Tamandua tetradactyla: one gene and its partners. The protein of the gene in region 2 interacts with the protein of the main gene of each other region in a pairwise test. Links are inferred from orthologs where the notes say so. Each region holds a gene or a part of one and is shown on either strand. Other genes may lie near its edges.

Evidence for each region.
Region 1: the proteins of EHHADH (region 2) and KCTD6 interact in binary tests that used the Homo sapiens proteins (3 or more experiments, as listed by UniProt). The two-hybrid records come from large-scale screens. The link is inferred for Tamandua tetradactyla from reciprocal best matches to the Homo sapiens genes EHHADH and KCTD6.
Region 3: the proteins of EHHADH (region 2) and ACTG1 interact in binary tests that used the Homo sapiens proteins (3 or more experiments, as listed by UniProt). The two-hybrid records come from large-scale screens. The link is inferred for Tamandua tetradactyla from reciprocal best matches to the Homo sapiens genes EHHADH and ACTG1.

What each region holds. Positions count from the first base shown.
Region 1 is NC_135341.1:26,375,633-26,383,210, reverse strand, and holds the start of KCTD6 (BTB/POZ domain-containing protein KCTD6), read left to right. Parts: upstream 1-4,509; 5' UTR 4,510-4,608; intron 4,609-4,649; exon of another isoform or gene 4,650-4,683; intron 4,684-5,007; exon of another isoform or gene 5,008-7,578. UniProt on the Homo sapiens protein: Probable substrate-specific adapter of a BCR (BTB-CUL3-RBX1) E3 ubiquitin-protein ligase complex mediating the ubiquitination and subsequent proteasomal degradation of target proteins.
Region 2 is NC_135336.1:3,928,830-3,936,087, forward strand, and holds the start of EHHADH (peroxisomal bifunctional enzyme), read right to left. Parts: upstream 3,053-7,258; 5' UTR 2,984-3,052; coding exon 2,910-2,983; intron 1-2,909. UniProt on the Homo sapiens protein: Peroxisomal trifunctional enzyme possessing 2-enoyl-CoA hydratase, 3-hydroxyacyl-CoA dehydrogenase, and delta 3, delta 2-enoyl-CoA isomerase activities. Catalyzes two of the four reactions of the long chain fatty acids peroxisomal beta-oxidation pathway.
Region 3 is NC_135332.1:73,752,667-73,760,298, forward strand, and holds ACTG1 (actin, cytoplasmic 2), read right to left. Parts: upstream 3,070-7,632; 5' UTR 2,935-3,069; intron 2,580-2,934; 5' UTR 2,574-2,579; coding exon 2,451-2,573; intron 2,356-2,450; coding exon 2,116-2,355; intron 1,838-2,115; coding exon 1,399-1,837; intron 1,318-1,398; coding exon 1,136-1,317; intron 1,050-1,135; coding exon 906-1,049; 3' UTR 226-905; downstream 1-225. UniProt on the Homo sapiens protein: Actins are highly conserved proteins that are involved in various types of cell motility and are ubiquitously expressed in all eukaryotic cells.

The sequences.
Region 1 (7,578 bases), on a different chromosome or scaffold from region 2:
GAGAGATGGATGAGGGCAATAGAGGAGAATGGACAAGTGGGGCAGGGCACGGTCCAGATCTCATTGGAGGGAGTTTAGGTTTGATTCTGATGGTAGTGGGAACCACTGAAGGAATTTAAAGCATGCAGGGGTGGGGGTGGGGGACACAGGCAGCTTTGTGTTGTCAAAGGGACTCATGGTGGAGGGAGGAGGATGGATTGGTAGTGTGGCGGCACAGAGAATGAAAGAGACCAGAGAGGAGACTACTGCTGGTGTCTGGAAGGGACAAATTGGTGGCTGGACCCAGTGTGATAGTGGTGGAGATGAACAGAGATGGATTCAGGGGCTTTACTGAAGAGGAACATTTTGCAGGGCTAGATTCTCTGGCTCTGGAAAGTGAGAGGAAGGAAGAAGCAGGCATGACTCAAAGCTTCTGGTTTGAGCAGCTGGGTGGATGGTGGTGGCACCATTCGCTGTGCTGGGAACTATGTACGTTTGGGGGTGGTAAAGAGAGAGAGTTCAGCTTTGTGCATGCTGAGGGTGAGATGCCTGGTGGTAGACCATTAGAGGATTGACTGCGAAGGAACAGAAAACTGCAGGGAGTCAAGCAGAGCTATGTTCAAATCTCCTCTCATATTTCCTGTGTGGTTCTACATAATGAGGAACTAACACCTTCCCTAAAAGCTACATGCATGAGCCTGGAAGCAAACCTTCAGATGACTGCAGCCCCAGTTGACATCTGGACTGCAAGCTCATGAAATACCCTACCTAATCACTTCTAAATTCTGGACTTACAGAAACTGTGAGATAATGTTTATTGTTTTAAGCCCCTAAATGTTGGGGCGATTTGTTACAAAGCAATAGACAACTAATACAGAGGGTAAAATCACTAAGCACAGTGCCTCCACATAGTAGGGGCTATAGAATACATAGGATCTGTAGATCTGGAGTTCAGGAGTGAGGTCTGGGCTGGAGGGATGGATTTAGGAACCTTTGGCTTAGAGACAGTAATAGAATATATGGACGGGGGTGAGCCAGTCCACAGAGAGGGGCGGACGGGGAAGAAAGGGTAGCCTTTGCGGTGGTTGGGAACTGTATGCACCCCAGACAGTCATGTTCTTAAAGCTAATCCATTCCTCTGAGTGTGTACCTATTGTAAGTAGGATCTTTTGATAAGGTTACTTCAGTTACTTTATCAAAAGGTAACTTTTCAGAAGCATGGCTCAGGGTGGGTCTTAATTCTCTTTCTGGAGTCTTTTATGAGAGAATGAAATTCAGAAAAAGAAAAAGAAAGTTATGGAAGTAAGAAGCTGAAAGCAAAGAAACCTGGAAGAGAAGGGAGAGACTAGCAGATGCTGCCATGTCTCTTGCCATGTGGCAGAGGACTCAAGGATCGCTGGCAGCAGGTCTTTGGAAGCAAAGCATTGCCCTGATGATGCCTTGATTTGGACATTCTCATGGCCTCAAAACTGTAAGCTTGTAAGCTAATAAATTTCTATTGTTAAAGTCAATCCATTTTATGGTATCTGCTTTCAGCAACCTAGGAAACAAAAACTGCCTTGAATAGACACTTGGGTATGAAAGGTGGGTAAAGCAAGAGGAGCATTTCCATGAGTTTGAGAGGTGCTGCAGAGGAAGGAGGAAAACTAGGAAAACATGGCACCCTAGAGGCCAAGGAAGAGGCTCTCCCTAGGAGACTATGGTCAACCGCATCATTGCAGAGAGGCCAGTCTAAGGACATTCTTCTGGATTCAGCTTCCAGCAAGGCCATTTAGGTACAAAGGTGGGCCCTGAGATCAGATTTATTGTTGTGGGTTGAGGTGTTGGGGGAGATGGGGAAGACACCAAAAAAGAAAAAGAAAGGGAAAGAGACACTTGGGTAGGGATCAACACAATTATGTGATGATATTGTGAGCCACTGATTGTATACGTTGGATGGACTATATGATGCATGAAGACATCACAATAAAAATATTAATAAAACAAAAACCAAAACAGCTAGCCTTCCCCAACAAGCTGGCAGTCCTGCTGGGTTAAACAGCTCCTAACGTAAACCTTTTCTACTTCCAACTCCAAAACCAAGAGCTCCAGATGATTTACAGGAGAATCCTACAAAACACTCAAACTACAGAAAATCCCAGACTTATAGAAGCAGCTCTAGTTTTACAGACATACATTCCTTAATTTATTTTATGAGGTTTATGCAACTTCAATAACAAAACTAGACAAAGGAAATAATAAGAAAGAAAACAGGAGGCAAATCTTACTCATAAATGTGGATGCAAAAACCCTAAATAAAATATGAGCAAGCAGAATCCAGTAGTATGTTAAAAAAAATAATACATTAAAGTGCATTTATCCCAGGAATGCATGGATGGTTTAATATATAAAAATCCATGTGTGTGATTTATTACATTTAGAGAATTAGAAAAATCCCAAATTTGATAAAATTCAACATCTATATTCATAATGTTTATAATAAAGCTAGGAAGCAGAATAGTGTTTCTTTACTCTGTTAGAATATCTATCAAAAATCTACCACAAACCATACTCAGAGTTGAACCCTTAGAAGCAGTTAAGAACATGCAGGAATGCCCATTATCATCACTGTTATTCAACATTTTTTGGAGGTTTTAGTCAATGCAGTGAGACAAAGAAAAGGAAATAAAGACTGGACAGAAGATAGCAAACTGGCTTTACTTATAGACCCTATGATATATATTTTTTGACCCTATGATTTTTTACAAAGAAAATTCAAGAAAACCTGCAAACTAAATATGACTAAGAAAGAGTTCAATGTGTGCAGAATACAAGATTATCATATACAAACTAATTGCATTTCAACAACCTGCAATAAATTATAAAATATAAATTGAAAATATAATTTACTATAGCAGCAAAAAGTTTAAGATACCTAGAAGTAAGTCTGACAAAACCACTGATAAAATTAATCCTTTCTAGTTTTCAGTTGGGGAAACAGAAAGCCTCGAGAGGAAAAATGACTTTTGAAGGGTACCAGCAGGTAAGAAGAAGTTTTGGATTCTCAACAGTACCAAATCTCCGAGTCTTGAGTGTTGGGTAATTTTGTTATTGTCTTTTTGTAAAAGCTAAAATTCATTTTACTTTCCTGATTACAAATTCAATACTCATGCATTCTAGAAATTACAGAAAATTTAGAACACTAAGACTAAATAAGTAACTCTCAATCCCATCCTACTATCTAGAGAGCGATGATCAATGATTTCATATATTTTCTTCAAATTGTTTATGTATATTTGTTTTAAAAAATAAAATTATACCACAGATACCATTTTGTATACTGATTTTTTCACTTGCATTTCCCTATGTCCTCACTTAGTCTCTGTGAACATAACACTTGATTATGTTGATGAAGCATGTATCATTTAACCTATCAATTTAAGTTTTCTGAGAAAAATAAAATGCAAATATGACTATGATAATCAAACTGATAAAAGTTAAACTGAAAAAAAAAGTTAAACTGCAGAGTCAACTCATGCACATGTAGACAAGATATGTGAATAAAAAAGGAAAATGGCAGGACCAATATCACATAATAGACCCCACCTGGAAGGGGAAGTGATCTGGCTAGCAGGAAGAGAATGGGGTTTGGAGTGAGGAGGCTGGGGACCGAGTCCATGCTTGGAGACCAATAACGTCTGAGACTTTAGGTAATTCCCCAATCTCTGCACCCTTTGTTTTCTACCTGGTTACTTGGGAGCAGTAACCACGCCAGCTCATTTGGGTCACTGCTGAGCTCCTCCAGGCCTCAGGGCCTTTGCAACAGTCCTTTGCTCTGCTGAAGTCGGTGCTGCCCTTCTTCCCTTCTGGCTGCCCCTGCTGTCCCCTTCAGCCTAGCTGCCCCGCCTTACCGGGGCCTATCCACCAGGCCTAACAGGTGGCCCCAGGGCTTCCTCACATCCCTTATTATCCCTGTATTTACACAACAGCGGGATGGCGCTTGAGTAACAGTCCCCTCTCTCACAAAAGGCAGGGCCGGGAAGCGCTGTCCCCAGGCCTCGTATCCAAATCGTCTTTGGTCACCGCGGCTCCTTCTTATTTTCCATCTAAATCCTTGATCATGCCTCTTGCAGCACTTATTATAATGTGTCTTTATCTTATCTACTGGCTCTTTCCTTGAGTCCTGTCTGTCTTCTCCTCTCATTAGGACCCGCCTCCGTCTTTGTGGCAGTTGCACCCTCCTGGCCTGGCCACATGGTCAGGGCTCCATAAATGTCACAGAAATAACTGAGGAGAAACAGCTGTGTGGTCACCAGCCCAGAAGACGCGGCGAAGAGTAAGCCTGGGGCTGGGCCCACCCGGGCTGCAGGTCCCGACAAATAGAAGGGGCGGGGCCTGCGGCTTTGGGGAGGAGCCTCGGGACTTCGGGGGCGGGGCTTTAAGGCGGTGGCACGGCGGGCTTGACCGCGCCGCTCAGGCCCAGCCCTGCTGAGCCTCTGTGGCCTCCTGCCTTCCGCTGCCGCTGGGGGACGCCCGCGCTCGTGGCGCCGCGGCTCGGCTGGGGAGGCGCCGTGCGCTCTGGGCGGCTGGCGCCGCAACTCCGGGCTCAGGCTCATTCGTCCTCTCTGCTGCCATAGCCACCGGGCGCAGGTTCGCTTGTCCCCGCGCTCGCGCTCTCGGGCTGTCCGCACCTCCCGGCCGGGCTGCCGCCGCCGCCGCCGCGCAGTGAGTGGGGAAGGAGCGGCGCCTTATAGGGCCGGGGCTCGGGAGGGCCGGGCGTAAGGAGACTTCCTCTCCGTGTGGTCGGAGCAGCTGGGTTGAGGAGAATCTGGGCGGGAGAGGAGCGCTCGGAGTCGGGAGATGGTGGGGCCGTGCTGAGGGGACCACTGGGAGCCCGGGCCGCGCGCCCCGCGCCCCGGGGCGGGCGCTGCCTTGCGGCGGGGCTGTTCGCGGCCGAAGTGCCGGGCCTGGGCGCGGGTTCCCCGGCCGACTCGGTGGGGTCGCGCGGTCTCTGCAGTCTGGGGGCCCGGGCTCCACCGCGCGTTCTCAGCGGGAGATCGGCGCCCCCCGCTGGGACCCGGAGCATCGCCAACCCCACGCCGGGATTGGGGTCGGAGTAGGGGCTTCGCTTGCACGGCTATCGCTAATCGCTTCCCTGACGGGGGTACCTCGGGGTTTGCTCGGAAATTATTGTTTTGGGCGGTGGTGCTTTTTAGCCACCGCTTGCTCCAGTTTAAGGCGGACAGCAGGGCTATTGAGCCCTCTCTTCGGGAATTTTCTGCCCCGAAAAGATACCCAGATGTGCAGCTGAGCTCTTTATGCCCACGTGTGTATCGTGGCAATTTTAAACGCTTGATGTCAGAGGTGGTAAATGGCTGTGGTATTAGGGAGTCCCTGAAGCACCTGCTAGGTCGACTGGGGTGGGAGTTGAATCTGGGGATGGGATGGGGAAAATGAAACGTGACAGACATCCTATTTGGATATTCTGCTGAAGTTAGCATGTTTCAGTTCAAGTACACTGGAACACAGTTGATAAATCCAGTTTTAGGACTTTGTAATAGAAGAGGCTTGGGTGGCAAGGAGATTCGTTTGGCTAAAAACGTCTGGGGTAGCCTAATGCTTCTTACTATTTTCCCCTGGCATGTTTATTATCTCACTGTCATAAATGCTGAAGTACATCCCAGTATTCAGGATATACGAAAGAAGCTAGGGGAAAGCATTTAGCACAGGCCTGACCCCAAGATCGAGATGTTTTCAAGTGAACAAACATGTAATTAGTAAGAAGGAAAATAATCTTTGTACAGTGTTTGGTGGACTGAGGGAATTTGCTCTTTGGTTTTAAACTATCAGTCCACACTGATACATCATTTTGTGGTTAAGCACAAGCCTGATAAGCATCAAGGATTTAGTGGTCAGGATGGCCATAAGTGCCATTCGTAAATTTTGTGGGATTTGAATTTTCATAAATCTTATTTTAACAAAAATACTACCACATAAAGGAATCCTAGGGTGAATCCTATGAATTGGTGTTATGCATCGTTTGGATTTTGCTATTTGGGATTTATTTAAAATGAAATACACCTATTTGTTTGGCTCTTGCTTTACCTTGGAGATAAGTCCTGAGTCATGCTTTAGAGAAGCTCCTGCTGTGGTTAAGAGCTTAGATGTCTGATAGCCTCTGTACAAGCTGGATGCTCTTGTTTACCCATAGTTCTCTCTTCTGGAGTTTTGAGGAAAAAAGGAGCTGGGGGAGATTAGAAGCAGATTAATGTGGCCTTCTCCATAATTGCCTTGTCTCTAGGTCAAATGCTGTAAATTATTTGTGTTCACACTTTCAGGTTTACATATTTATCACAGGAATTTTATTTATGCTACTGCTATTAGTGTTTTTACATTTGCATAATACTTGCCAGTTTGTGATGGTTTTAAATTTAGGATCTCAATTGTTTTCTCCATTTCCCCAAAGGAGAAGCTTTGCGAGTGATTTAACTGGAGTGGTTTACTTTGAGAGTGATTTACTCAGGGTCTCGTAATTAAGCGGCATTGGAATACAGATCCTCACTGTCAGTCTAGCCCTCTTTTCCTCTGAGCTGGTGTGCATGTCACTTCAGAACACTAGTCCTGATGCCTTTATTGTTGTGCCTAACATGTATGGTGTGATTCCTTTTGGGAAGGTGATGTTATTCCAGTTTCATCTTGCAGAAACTGAGGGTGAGAGGAATTTTATGCCTTTGTGACTGGGGTCATTCAGCTATTTAGTATTAAGGCCACTTTTCAACCTAGACCTTTCTTCTGGACCACATGGTTGAGAGATGAGAAAGAGAAGATAGATTTAGGAAAACATCCATTTTTTCAGTGGCATAGTTAAGGGTAGCCTAACATTATAATCACATTCTCCTTGTGCTCCTGGCTACTTGTGCCGGCCTGTATGTTAATCCAGAAGACTCTTTAGATGTTGTTGAACTAGTTATTATAAAAAGTATTTCACTTTCAAACACCCACGTTTCAAGAACAGAGCAACTTATTACAAAGATAATTTTAAAGCTATGTATAGGTGGAGGGAATTTATTTGCATCGTCTTTTCTGAAGGCCAGACACAAAGGTTTCAGTAGGGTGCACTTTTTAAAGAGCTACTTGGAAACTCCAGGAAGGCAGGTAGTTATGGTTTCTATTATTTATTTATGGTTTGGAGGTGTATATTGCAAGGTACTGGTTGTTATATAGGAGTAGGACTTTTGCCCTGGGCAATTCTTGGTTTGTCAGAAATGAAAAACCCAGAATATTTGCATTGAATTGGTTCTTCATAACTATAAAGCTGTAATTGCAATTCTGTAGTGGTAAGAGTGACTTTTAGGGATTCTTACATTATTGTTTAAGTTATTAACATGTTAAATTGTGCGTTCTTCAGATTTGCCACTTTAGACAATTCTAAACAGTTGCTTTTTAGGCTTCTATAAATTCTTCAGTGTGTGTTCCTTAACTTAATTACCTGCTAGCATTACACTCAGAATTTCTCCATGAGTGGCAATTAATCTTGGAAGCTAAATTTGGGTGAATTTATTTATTGGGTGCTTTATTTTCTCTGGGAGGGATCAACCAGTTCTTTTTAAGTGAGCTGTT
Region 2 (7,258 bases):
GCTAAGCCTATTCATGATTATTCCTAAGAGTCACCCCCAGAGAACCTCTTTTGTTGCTCAGATATGGCCTCCCTCTAAGCCAATGCTGCAGATGAACTCACTGCCCTTCCCCTATATAGGAATGACTCCCAGGGATGAGCCCGGACCTGGTATCATGGGATTGAGAAAGCCTTCTTGACCAAAAGAAGGAAGAGAAATGAAACAAAATAAAGGCTGAGAGATTTCAAATAGAGTAAGAAGTATTTCTGGAGGTTATTCTTATACAATATATAGATATCCCTTTCTGTTTTTGGTGCATTGGAGTAGCTAGAGGGAAACACCTGAAACTGTTGAACTGTTATCCAGTAAGCCCTGATCCTTGAAGATGACTGAATAACTACAGAGCTTTTAAGGTGTGACTGTGAGTATGAAAACCTTGTTACTAAAACTCCCTTTATCCAGTGTATGGACAGACGAGTAAGAAAAAAAAAGACCAAAAAAATAAATGAACAATAGAGGGTATGGGGGTATGGGATGTTTTGGGTGTTCTTTTTCTTTTTATTCTTAATTTTGTTTTTGGATTAAAGTGTTCAAAAATCTATTGTAATGATGAATGCACAGCTTTACGATGATACTGTAAACCACTGATTGTATACTCTGGATGATTTTATCTCAATAAAAAAATCATTGACAAAAAAATGGGCAAACAACTTGCATAGTTATTTCTCCAAAGGAAATGGACAAATGGCCAATAAATACATGAAATGATGTTAGATTCTTTAGCCATTAGAGAAATGCAAATCAAAACCACAATGAAATACCAACTCACATCCACTAGAATGGCTATTATTTTAAAAAGGCAAAATAGCAAGTGTTCACAACGATATGGAGAAATAAGAATCTTCATATCTCATTGGTAGGAAAGTAAAATGGTGAAGCCACTTTAGAAAACTGATGGCTCTCCAAATAGTTAAACATAGAACTACCATATGACCCCACAACCCCATTTCTAAGTATATACCCAAAGAACTGAAAGCAGGGACTTGAACAGATATTTGTACAGCAATGTTCACAACAGCATTATTTACAATAGCTAAAAGGTCAACGTAACCCAAGTGTCAATCGACAGCTGGATGGATAAACACCATGTGGTATATACATATACTAGAATATTATTCAGCCATAAAATGTAATTAAGTTATGTTGTAAGCTATAACGTGGATGAACCTTGAGTGAAATAAGTCAGACACAAAAGGACAGATATTATGATTCAATTTAAATGAAATAACTAGAACATGCAAATCTATAGAGATAGAAAGTAGAGTACAGGCTACCAAGAATGAGGATTGGGGTGGTAGAAATGGGGAGTTAACGTATAATGGGTGCAGAGTTTCTGTTTGGTTATTTTTTTACCACAATTTATTAAAAGGAGAGAGAGAGAGCAAGAGAGAGGGAGCGAGCATAAGATTAAAGGGACAATGACAATTAAGTGTAATACATGATCCTGGACTGGATCTTATAAGGAAGGAGAAAATGCCACAAAGGACATTTTGAGACAATTCAAAAATTAGAATATAGGTTGTAAGCGTTCTATCAATGTTAAATTTCTTTAACTTAACTGTACTTAATGTGGGTTACTTAAGTGACTATCCTTGTTCTTAGGAAATAAACATGGAAGTATTCAGTGTTAAAGGAGAATGATATATGCAATGTGCTGTCAAATGTTTATACAACAGATAGAGAAATAGAGAGAGAGAGAGAACGATATAGCAAACGTGGCAAAATTTTCAAAGTTGGTAAATCTAGGTATCTGTGTGGGGGTATTTGGGAATTCTCTGTATTGTTTTTGTATTATTTTTGCAAACTGTAAGCTTGAATTTATTTCAAAATTAAAAGTCTAAAAAATAGGACATTTCTATTTGCAGACCAGCAAATAAACATAGGCATATTAAAAATAAATAAATACAAAAAATTTTTAAAATCAGCAGATCTCCTCATTCAGTCTCTTTTATTTCAGCAGGTATGTGATTAAGAGCTTCAGCAGGCAAGTAATTAAGAAAGAAAAAAAGATCTTTCTACACTTTATACAACATGATTCTTTGTGTATGATAATTTCTCTGATCTTACTCCCTGTAGATGGGTGGCTGACTTTTCTTGAGGCCGATGTATCAGTATACTTTTTCCAGAGATATGGAGACCTATAAAATAATTCTTTAACTTTCAAGACGACAGCACTAATCTCACATTGAAAAGTAATGCTCTAAGTATTTTGCACAGATCTGGGCTAAAGAGTTTCACAAGGAAGTTGAACTTTACCCCGTGCTGTTATAAAAGAAGATAAATTGCACAGAATCTTTTCAGAAAAATGTTACTTAAAGTGTAATTCTAACATAGGTTTTTCACTGATGCCCTAAGACCCTGAGGTTTAGAACAGATCAGGAGAAATAACCGCATTTCTAGGCCAGGACACAGTTCCCCTTTACTCACTGAGTTGATACGCGCGCGTGCGCGCACACACACACACACACACACACACACACACAAGTGAACCTTCACACACAAAAGCTAACCTTCTTTATTGTCCAAGTGCTAAAGTCCTTGATAACACATTGCTTATCAATCCATGCCAGAAAAACCGAAGCTGTAAGGAAGCGGAAAAGTTTGGCGTCTACAGACCGCGTTGGATCCCAGCCTTTCCCACCTACAGCCGCCATGGGCCTCAGTCTCCGTTTCCTTCCTAGTAAAGAGGGACGGGTTCCCAGCGGTGACTGAGCAAGCTAACCTATGCAAAGAGCCCGGGCGCGCACCAGGTCTCAGTCCGCATTAGCGTCTTTCTCACGTTAAAGCAGCAGGGGAGAGGCCGAGCCTCCGGAGCAGGCCGACGGGCGAGTCCGCAGCTGCCCCTGGCTGGAGATAACCGAGCCTGTTACCTGATTGCGTTGACTGGCGGGTTTCGGAGGCGAATCAGCGCCAGACGGCTGGGGAGCCGCGCGTACTCGACCATGTTTCCCCGTCGCTGAGGTGGCCTCGGTCGTCGCCGCTGGGAGAAGCCTCTTTGAAGGCGGCACCGGGTCGGCCCCGCGAGGAGGGGCGCCAGCTGAGCCAATGCGAGCCCCGCGCGGCTCGTGCGCCCGGCTCCGTCTCGCCAGCTGGCCAGCACCCTGGGCCTCGTGGCCCACCCTCAGACCAAGCCCTCTTCTCTCCCGGACCCGCCCACTCACAAGGACAGGAAGCGCTGTCCGAAGGCCTGTGGGGTCTACAAACGTTTGTGGTCCCTTTTTCTGTTTTGACTGCCATCCTTCTCCATATACGAAATAGAGCAAGGAGGACAGCGGTAAACCGGCTGGGACTGCGGCAAGTGGAGGTGTCAACTCCGGAGCCAAGAGAAACTGCCTTCTCACAAGACTCAGATTCACTGAACTGGTCAAGAAGCCCTCAGCATCATGTTGAGCGAAATAAGCCAAAAATTAAAGGACAAATATCGTGTGGTCTCACAAATATGAACTAATTATAATGAGCAAACTCTGGGAGTTAAAGTCTGAGAGCACATTTTACCAGGACATTGAAAAGGGATAGAGATTGGGCAAGGGAATCTCATGGGAATTCCCTTGCTAAGGAAATATAGAATGCTTAATAAGGTTGATTGTAAAGGTTCAGAAATGGATAGCACAATATTGTGTGATGGAAGCACAATACAGTGCTTGTAAATGAGAGTAACAAGCAGAGCGTGAGTATGGTTGAAAGATAAAGGCCGGGGTAATGTATGTCACCCGAAGGAAAGCTGGAGGATAAAAACTGGGACTGTATAACTTAATGAAACCTAGAGTGGACAATGACGGTGGTTAATTATAAAAAATAATAAAATTCTTACATGAACTAGAACAAGCGTACCTCACTATTACAAGATGTTAATAAGATGGGTAGTATACAGAAAAAAATAGTTAATGTAAACTAAGGTTTATAGTTAATAACATTATAATATTCTTTCATTAATTGTAACAAAGGCACTATACCCAAGCTAAATGCCAATAATGGGGGAATAAGGAATATGGGGTTTTTTTCCGGAAGCAATGAGAATGTTCTCATATTGATTGTGGTGGTGAATACATATTATACCAAGGGCCATTGATTGTACACTTAGAATGGATGGTATAGTGTGTGAATAAAACTGTTTAACTAAAAAATTTTTTTTTAATGTAAATGCTTTCATCAGTTTTCATCTTCATGATCCTTCTGGAGCAGATATCTGGGGCTCTGACAATGATGTGATATGATACCCACCTGAACACATAAGATACACACATTATGACCTAAATTAATGTGGTACTATCAACCAAACATTTACATCACACGGCAACCTAGTGAAGCCTTTGAGTTTTCTTGTCTGCCTAATGCTTCCCTTTTATCTTCTGCCATTCCTAAGGATTGTGGCTTCTAACACTTCATTCATTCCTCTATAAACTGAGTACCTACTGTACTGGTTTGAAACTGTTGTGTACCCCAGAAAAGCTATGTTCTTTAATCCTGGTTTAGTATTGTAGAGTGGGATCATTTTGATTAAGTTGTTTCCATGGAGATGTGAGACACCCAATTGTGGGTGGGACCTTTTGATTAGGTGGTTTCCATGGAGATGCATCTCCGCCCATTCAAGGTGGGCCTTAATCTGCTTACTGGAGTCCTTTAAGAAGGAATCATTTCGGAACAGCTTCAGAGCTAACGCGCACAGAGACCATTTGAAGATGCAGAAAGAAAATGCCCCAGGGTATCCAGAAGCCAAAGGACCAGCAGATACCCTAACCATTTGCCTTCCCAGCAGATACCCTAACCATTTGCCTTCCCAGCTGACAGAGGTATTCCAAGCCATTGGCCTTTCTTGAGTCAAGTTATCTTTCTCTGGATACCCTTAGCTTGGATATTTTTATGGCCTTTTAGAACTGTAAACTGGTAACTTAATACATTCCCTTTGTGAAAACCAACCCATTTCCAATATATTGCATTTTTGGCAGTATTAGCAAATGAAAACACCTACTATGAGCTAGGCCTAGCCTCAAGACTGTAAAAATAAACAAGGCACAACCCCTTCCCTCCAAAACTTTAGGCTAAAACAAGATTTCTCTAAGTGTGTTTGGTCCCACAGTCCCTCCAGTGGTCAGAAGGCAGCCTGGACGTTTCAGAGGAAAAAGCAATGAAATAATTTTGTTCACTGATGTTTCACAAATGTCAGCCATAATTAAGGATTTATCAGAGACATTCTTTTGCTTTTTGAAAAAAAAGTAGGTTCCAACTCTTAGCAAAGTAGTGATTGCCTTGTGGCCCTGGTAACAAATAGCAGTCAGACCCCATTCAATTCATCAACTGCCTCAGTGATCACCCCGTAAAAAGCCAGCCTATCAACAACAGTCTATCAATCCTTAAAAAAAAAATTAAATGTCATATTGGGAAGAAATGGTGCAACACCAAAAGCCCATATACAAAACAATATTCTTTTCTGTAGTATTTTCTTATTAAAATATCATTTGCTGGGTGGGCCACGGTGGCTCAGCAGGCAAGAATGCTCGCCTGCCACGCTGGAGGACCCGGGTTCGTTTCCCGGTGCCTGCCCATGTGAAAATATATATATATATATACATCATTTGCTGCACATGAAAATAATGGGTGATTTCAAACTGTTATCACAATATTAGTTTGGCTTACCTAGCACCACCTCCATGGAGCCTACTTTAATTCCCATATAGAAAACAATATAATCCTTTTTTCAACTAATATAATCTGAGCTACTGAATGGTGAGTACCTATCAATCTTTTTTTTTAATTTTATTTTATTAGAGAAGTTGTGGATTTACAGAACAATCATGCATGAAACACAGGATTCCTATACAGCACACCATCACCAACCCCTTGCATTGGTATGAAACATTTGATACAAGTGATGATAGCACATTTTTATAGCTGTTCTATTAATTATAGTCCATTGTTCAACTTAAGGTTTACTGTTTGGGTAGTGTAGTACCATGGATTTTTGTTAATATTTTTATTCTATTACCATAGATATGAACTAGCATTTCCCCTTTTAATCATATTCAGATATTTCAGTGCTGTTAATTGCATTAGCAATGTTGTGCTACCATTACTGACACCCATTATGAAAACATTTCCATCATTCCAGATAGGAACCCTGAACATTTTAAGCCTTAATTTCCCATTCCCTATTCCCATCCAATCCCCTGGTAAACTATATTCTAGCTTCTGACTTTATGAGTTTGCTTGTTCTAATTGTTTTATATCAGTAAAATCATACAATTTTTGGCCTTTTGTGTGTGGCTTATTTCACTTAACGTGATGTCTTCAAGATTCATCCATGTTGGGCAGTGCAATGGTGGCTCAGTGGCAGAATTCTTACCTGCCATGCCAGAGACCTGGGTTTGATTTCTAGAGCCTGCACATGCAAAACATAAAAAAAAATCATCTATGTTGTCTCATGCATCAGGACTTCATTGCTTTTCAGGAATGAATAATATTCTACTGTATGAATATTACTTATACATTCCATCAGTTGTTGGGCACTTGGGTTGTCTCCATCTTTAATAATGAATAATGCTGCCATGAACATTGGTGTGCAAATATCTGTTCAATTCTTTTGGGTATATGCTGAGTAGTGGGGTTCTGGGTCATATGGCAGTTCTATACTTAGCTTTCTGAGGAACCACTAAACTATTTTCCACAGCAGCTGTACCATTTTATATTGCCACCAGCAATTAATGAGTGTTCCTATTTGTCTGCATCCTCTCCAACACTTATTTTCTGTTTTTGGAATAGCAGTCTGTTCTAGTTTGCTAGCTGCCAGAATGCAATACAGCAGAGACAGATTGGCTTTCAATAAAAGGGGATCTATTTAGTTAACATACAGTTCTTCAGAGGAAAGGCAGCTAACTTTCAACTGAGATCCTTTCTTACGTGGGAAGGCACAGGGCAATCTCTGCTGGCCTTTTCTCCAGGCCTCTGGATTCCAACAACTTTCCCCAAGGTGATTCCTTTCTGCATCTCCAAAGGCCTGAGCTGAGCAGTGAGTGCTGAAATGAGGTATGCTGAGCTGCTCTGGCTGTGCTATGTTGAGCTCTCTCATTTAAGCACTGGCCAATAAAATCAAACATCATTCATTGCAGCGGGCATGCCTCCTAGCTGACTGCAGATGTAATCAGCAACAGATGAGGTTCACGTGCCATTGGCTCATGTCCACAGCAATAGAACTAGGCACCTTCACCTAGCCAAGTTGACACCT
Region 3 (7,632 bases), on a different chromosome or scaffold from region 2:
CTTGGAGGAAAGAGATCTGGGGGCCAGCAATGCAGGGATAGTGGGCTGCCACATACAGGTGGTCTAAGGGGTTCCCCCAAAACCAGGCCCACCCAATGAGACCTTCTTCCTATACACTCAGCTCCTAGCTTGGGAGAAACTAAATCGGTGCTTCTTCAGAAATGGAGTTTACCGGGCAGCTTCCAAGACCCCTGCCCCCATCCCCCCACGACAGGAGCCAATGGCCTCTTTACTGCAGCACTTTTATTTTTCTTTACACGACAACGTGTTGCTGGGGCCTAATGTTCTCACATGACAGTAGAAAACCAAACTTTGTTGTCATCTCTCAAAGATTTGAGAATTGAGTACAAAAAACCTTACATAAATTAAAGGATGAATAAATTTACAGGTGTAAATGCAAACCGTTTTCCACCTCAGGGCAAGTAGCGAGCCGCGGTGTTCCGGAGGGAAAACATCAGGAAAGAAAGGAGATTGGGCCCCAAGGCTCGGGGCGCTCCCCACCTGTCGGACCAGCAAGGCGGAGCGAGCACCCGGCAGAGCGCTCGCGGAACCCGGAGAAACCCCGGCATAGCCGCGGCTCCCGCGCCAACAGCCTGCGTGGGCCGGAGACAGCCCCCGCACTTCTCCACACCTCACCCGGGTCACGGAGTGCCCGAGCCATGACGGTGGGGGTTTAAATCAAAGATATGTACAGGGTATTAAAACATATACCAAGGAAACAGTTAACTTCGAATACAAGATCAAGATCAGCAACAAGTTCTACGCTCCAGTGCTGACGGGACAGGCTTCCAAGACGAGTTTCTCTCCGAAGGCTTATTCCAGTTTCGCGAGACTGGCACAAGGCGCGTCCGGGCCGCCGCGTACCGCACGGGCTCCCGCAGCGACCCCGGCCCAGCGCAGTCCGTCTAGAAGCACTTGCGGTGCACGATGGAGGGGCCCGATTCGTCGTACTCCTGCTTGCTGATCCACATCTGCTGGAAGGTGGACAGCGAGGCCAGGATGGAGCCGCCGATCCACACCGAGTACTTGCGCTCCGGGGGCGCGATGATCTGAAAAAGAAATAGAGGGCCTCAGTGGACCCGAGGCCACCTCCCAGCTGGGGGGAAGGGGGAGCGGGGGCGGGACCGGAACCCACCTTGATCTTCATGGTGCTGGGTGCCAGCGCCGTGATCTCCTTCTGCATTCTGTCGGCAATGCCGGGGTACATGGTGGTGCCCCCCGACAGCACCGTGTTGGCATATAGGTCTTTACGGATATCCACGTCGCACTTCATGATGGAGTTGAAAGTGGTCTCGTGGATGCCGCAGGACTCCATGCCTATGAGACAGACCACGCCCCCTCAGCGCCCGCAAGGCCCCGGGGCGGGGGTTGGGGAGTAAGGAGGTCCCCGGCACCTACCCAGGAAGGAAGGCTGGAAGAGGGCCTCGGGGCAGCGGAAGCGCTCGTTGCCGATGGTGATGACCTGGCCGTCGGGCAGCTCGTAGCTCTTCTCCAGCGAAGAGGACGAGGCAGCCGTGGCCATCTCCTGCTCGAAGTCCAGGGCCACGTAGCAGAGCTTCTCCTTGATGTCGCGCACAATCTCGCGCTCGGCCGTGGTGGTGAAGCTGTAGCCGCGTTCGGTGAGGATCTTCATGAGGTAGTCAGTCAGGTCCCGGCCGGCCAGGTCCAGACGCAGGATGGCGTGGGGCAGCGCGTAGCCCTCGTAGATGGGCACGGTGTGCGTGACGCCGTCGCCGGAGTCCATGACGATGCCCGTGGTGCGGCCGGACGCGTACAGCGACAGCACGGCCTGGATGGCCACATACATGGCAGGGGTGTTGAAGGTCTCGAACATGATCTGCGAAAAAAAAGGGGCGCTCAGGCGGGGCCAGGGCCGCCACCCCCCATGCTCACACGCGGGCCAGCATGCCACCCAGGGGAGTGGAGGGGAAGGGAGAGAAACGCAGGCAGAACACACACGAGAAACCTTGAGGCTTCAGGGAGGGAAGGCCAGGAGAGGAACAGGGTCCTGGAAATACCGAAAGAGACACTTGAATTTCAGAACGAGAAAAAAAAATAAAGAACAGAAAAAATAGTGCGGGAGGCAGGGGCGGGGTCCGAGCACCCAGCGCGCACCTGCGTCATTTTCTCTCTATTGGCCTTAGGGTTCAGGGGCGCCTCGGTCAGCAGCACGGGGTGCTCCTCGGGGGCGACACGCAGCTCATTGTAGAAGGTGTGGTGCCAAATCTTCTCCATGTCGTCCCAGTTGGTGACGATGCCGTGCTCGATGGGGTACTTTAGCGTCAGGATGCCCCTCTTGCTCTGGGCCTCGTCGCCCACGTACGAGTCCTTCTGGCCCATGCCCACCATCACGCCCTGCGAGGACACTGCGCGTCAGGCCCCCGCCGCCCCCCCCCTTCCGCCCGGCGCCGCGAGTGGAAACCGCGCCGACCCTGGCGCCTTGCGCTCACCTGGTGTCGGGGGCGCCCCACGATGGAGGGGAACACGGCGCGGGGCGCGTCGTCCCCGGCGAAGCCGGCCTTGCACATGCCGGAGCCATTATCGATGACGAGCGCGGCGATCTCCTCTTCCATAGCGCTCTGCGGGGCGGGGCGGGGCGGCCGAGTCAGCGACCCCTCCAGGATCGAGCGCTTGGCGGGACCCCCAAACCCCCAATCCAAGCTCGGTAACCGCCTGGACGCTGTACGTGACCCCCACCCTAGGCGTTCGGTAGGGGACCCCGCCCCGCGCCACAGCGCCGCCCTCGAAAACCCCCCACCCAAGGCGCAGCGCTCACTCTGCGGGAAGCACAGCACGGGCTGCCGACTCGGGCCCGACCCGCCAGCCGCCCCTTCTCCCCAGACCCACGCCAGCCCTCTCCGCCGAGAACGAGGGTCGGCCGAGGGGTGCCGGAAGACCGCGGGGCGGGGCCGAAACGCGCAAGCCGGGCCTTACCTGAAACGGGCGGCCGCGGCGCGGTGGAGCGGAAGGAGCAACGGCGAGAACACAGAGCGGGGCCGGCGGCGGCGAGTGAGACCGAGCGCGGCCTCCCCCGCCGCTATTTAAGCGGCAACGGGGCGCGCGCGTGGACCGGCGGCGCGCGCGGCCCAGAACATGTCCTTATATGGCGATCTTGCCGAAACCCGAATGCTCATTGGCCCGCCCGCCTGGGGCACGTGGGAACCCGCGCGCGGGCCCGCCCCCCGCGCGCTCCGCCTCCCAACGGCCCCGCCCGCGCCGCCCGCGCCGCCCCCGCCGCGCCGGGACCCCGCAGGGGCAGGGCCGGGGACGCGAGGCGCGGGGATTCGGGTACCGCAAGATAGGGGACATCGCCTGGGGTGTACGGTAGGGCCTGGGACTGACCGGCCCGGCCCCGCCCCGGGACTGCCGCGCCGTGGGGGAGGGGCCCGGCTGCGCCCCGAAACTGCCGGGTTGGGCGCGGAGCCTGCCCAAGCCGGGGTGTGCCACCCTCACCCCCACCCCGGCCCGGCTGGGGGCTTTGCTTTCCGGACACCTCCCGCGGAGCCGCTTCTCGAGCTCGGCTGAGAGTCGGGGCCGCCAAGGGCGCTTCCCAGGCCGGACTGGGGGAGGGGACTGGGCGGTGGTCCCAGTCGGCCGCCCGCGCGCACAACCCGGGCCCGACGCGCTGAAGGGTGCGGCTCTGCGCCGTGCCCAGGTCCCTTCGTGGGAAAGCGGAGAGCGCCCGGCCCGGGCCACCCAGAGGCGCCGACCCTGAGATCCTTTGTCACCCAGCTCTGCACCGCTGCCTTGCAGGCCCGATGGCCCCCGGGGGTGGGCGCCGCGCTGGATTTGGGGCCAGCTCACCCCAGTACAGGGGTGCCCACCTTGTGGAGTTAGTAGGGAAACTGAGGTTGAACGAGGGAATCCGGGACAGTTGAGCTCCCATTGCTGGACAGGGTGGGGGCCCCCATCTACTACTCTGTGTCCTCTGTGAGCTAGGAGGGCAGGGCTGGGACCAAAACAGAAAGGAGCCTAGGGACCTCCAGGCACAGCCACCCCAGCCCCGTGCTCCGAAGCCAGGTCCCGGGGCTGCAGGCTGTTCCCGGGTGCAGGGCGCCTCTTCTCCCCCAGGAAGTTACATGAAATGACATGGGCCCTGGCAGCCCTGCGTGCACAGATTCTTTGGTCTGTATACTCAGGGGAAAACCAGGTTTCGTGGTTTCCATGGGCTTATTTGGAAGCTTCCAGAATTGTTCAGTATAAAACTATATTAAACATTGACAGTCACAGAGGAACCTCGCTGGCCGGCCAGGGGTGGCGGTGGAGCCTGGCACAGCCAGGCAAGGGCCTGGTCCAAGGTCGCAGGCCGTCAGCACTGCAATCGGGCAGGTGTCTGGGGGTGGGAGAATTGGTGCCTGGCACCGGACTCCTCACCTGCCCGCCCCGCCCATGCGGGCTGGGGCCCTCAGCCCTGCCCGGCCAGCTGGTGACCGCCCCTCTCTGACGCCCCAGACCACCGAGCTCCCAGGCCTGGCAGGGGCTCGCTGAGTCTCCATCCTCCTAGACTTTCCAGGGGCCGGTCAAGGCGCACGGAGCGCGTTCCCCATCCTTGGAGAACGTGGTGGGGGGGGACGGACCTCCAGGAAACCCACTCCGACCCCGGGCCGGCATGCAGCTACAATAGGGGACAGGCATTCCGCTGGGGGCCCAAGTCGCGGTGGCACCTCCAGGGACCTGGGGCAGGTGTCTGCCAGGCCCTCTCTCTACTCAGCTGGAGGTAGGGGTGCCTGCCACCTCGTCGGACTGAAATTTCCTCTAAAAGTCCTTTGTCTGCGAGTGCGCCGGGGAGGGGGCGCTGCGCCCGGCTTCCTAGGCTGCTTCCTGGGGGGGGATAAGGAGGGAGCGGAGGACCGATGGACCCCTGTCTCTGCACCCCCTTAACAGCCCGGAGGCCAGGTGGGCCGCCGGAGGGTCGTGGGGGAAGTGGGTGGGGATGAGGGGAACCTGGGTCCGCCGCGGTGGGGGAGGGGGAAGGGCAGCTTCTTCCTCTTCCGCGGATGTGTCACCGGCTGGGGGGTGCCAAGGTGCGGCCGCAGGTGCGGGGGGCGGCGGCGGCGCGGCCATATTTGGCGATTTCGGCGCCGCGGGAGCCCCGCCCGCCGCCGCCGCCGCCGCCGCCGGGAAGCCCGCGGCCGGGGCGCAGCCTCGTCCCCGCCCCGTGCCTGCTGTCGGCGGCCCTGAGTCACCGGCCGGGCGGGGAGTGGGGGCGGAAGTAACGGCCGGGGGGCGCCCGGGCCCGGCGCTCCTCGCCTTATTTAGTCACGGAGGCCGCGGATTGGCCGGCGGGGCCGTGGGGCGGGCCGCGCGAGTGCGGGAGCGCAGGGGCGAGGCCGGCTGGACCGAGAGCTGGGGTCGGGGGTGGCGCGGAGCTGGAGGCCTGGAGGAGGGGGCGCGGAGACGCCCGGGAAGCACCGCCCGAAGCCCGAGTGAGTGGCCGGGGCCGGGGGTGGGGGTCCGGGCTCCCAGGTAGACGGCGGTTCCCGGGGCAGGGGTGGGGGCGTGCAGAATTCCACAACGCGATTTTTCTGTTTTGCTTCTGGGCAGTGCGAGGCCTCGCCCAAAGTCACCGGCCTAGCCAGCTCGGTACTGGCTTCCTAGGTCTTTATCCCCGCCCTGCTGTGTTGCTGACCATTGTCTCCTTTCATCTTAAACCCATTCAGTGGGTGAGAAAACAGCGGCCCCAGAGGTGGCCTTGCCCTCAGGGTCCTCCCCACAAGTCCTTTCTGCACCAGTGTTCTCTCCTTGCCCCAGCCTCTGTAGGACACTCCCTGGGAAAGCAGTCACCTCTGCATCTCCTCACATGGCCCCCAGCTCACCCTCCTCCCAGCACCTGCCCAGGTTCCTTCCCTTCTTCCACCGGCTGCACCCACGTATCCTGCATTGGACCTTGAACCGAAAGTGCCTGGTGAAATCCAAGTAGTTGAGTTTAATGAGTAGTAATGTACCAATTAATCCCTTGGTTAGTGTCTTGATTATGTTACTTGTTGCCATTAGGGAAAACTGGGAGTCTGTGAGAACTGTTTCTACTGTTTTTCTACTGTAAATCTGAAATTATTCCAAAATAAAAAGTCTATTTTAAAAATCCAAGGGAAAAAAAAGTTTGCCTGTCCTCAGCTCATGTTTCTCTTCTCCCAGGCCCTTGCAGACAGATCAAATCAGGGGGATTTTCCCCGGTTCCTGATGCCTAAAGTCCTCTCTTGCACCCTGAGCAGCTCCCACGGGCAGGGGCGCCCTGAGAGGCTCTGTCTGTGCTAAGCTGCCGTCCCCCGGGCTGCCCTGCAGGTGAGGCCAGGATCTGGCTGCCCCGTACACCCTAGAGCACAGGAGGTCCAGCCCAGTGTGTCCTGGGCTGCGAGGCCCCTCCACCCCGCCCCACCTCCTCTCCACAGCCACCACCGCGGCCCTGTGGGCACTGCCTGCGCCCCGCTACCGTTTGTCCTGCTGTGCGCCGTCCACAAGCTTTCTGTGAGTTATCCAGTCCCTGTCCCAGGGGGGCTTTGCAACCAGGTTGTATTCCTGGAGGGGAAACTGAAGCTCACATCGTACCCCTGGCCATTCAGTTGGTCACGGTACAGCTGGGCACATCACATCCTTGGCGGTGAGCGTGTGCCTGGACCGGAGGTCTGGCAGACTGGCTGCTTCCCCAGCTCCCTGGCTCCCCCCGGGGATGGAGGGCGCTGGACCCTCTGATGAAAGGAGAAGCCCACTGGAGTTTATCCAGCGTCCCCATTGCCTTGCTTCAGTGCAAAGGAGCCATGGAGGCTTCCGGAAGGAGCACTGGGCCAGGAGCCAGGACACCTGGTTTCCAGGCCCAGCCTGGCTTGTTTAAGCTTCTCTATGCCTTGTTCTCCTTGACTGTAAGAAAAAGGGGTGGGTGGTGACGTGGGGGACATGTGCCCATCAGGCTCTGAGGCTGGGAGCCCTCCTGCACTGGACAAAGGGCCTGAAGGCAGGAGGCCACCAGGTGGCCCTGCAAACGTCCCACCCCACTCCCCCGGCCTGCGCTCGGGTGTTCCCTTCCTCTGACCATGAGGCCTCAGGCTGCCCATTCTGGATGATGACAAAGCTTGATGGGCTCAGTGTGTGTCAGACCCGACACTCCTGCCCCACACAGGCCTTCCCTCCATCTGACCCTCAGCAGGGCACGTACAGGGTGAGGAGAACCGCAGGGGCCACAGAACACAGGGTGAACCCCATGAAGTCAGAGGGGGTCCGGAAATAGAGTCACAGCCTGTTCCTCTTGACCTTTGCCCTCTGCACAGGAAGGGACCTCATGCTCCCTCCAGGACCATACCCCCTCCTGAATGTTGCTATTTATTTGAGACTGTCCCCACTCCCGCACCCCAGAAATGGTAGGTTCCTGGGGCGCAGCTGCTTATCCTCAGTATCAGAGCTGATGTTCCCACAGCTGGGGCAGTCCTGGCCCTGGACCCTTAATAGGCAGTGAGTGGAGGGGGTGGGAGGGGCTCCCACCTCTGCAGGGGGTCTCTCCATAGGAGGCAGGTAGGCTAGGGGTGTTGGGGCAGGGGGCTGGCAGGGCCCTTGGTGGGGGGGGGGGAGTTTGGGAGAAACTGCCTTGTCTTGCCCCCAGACCTGACTCCAGAATGCAGAGGAGAGAAATGGCTGGGGGAG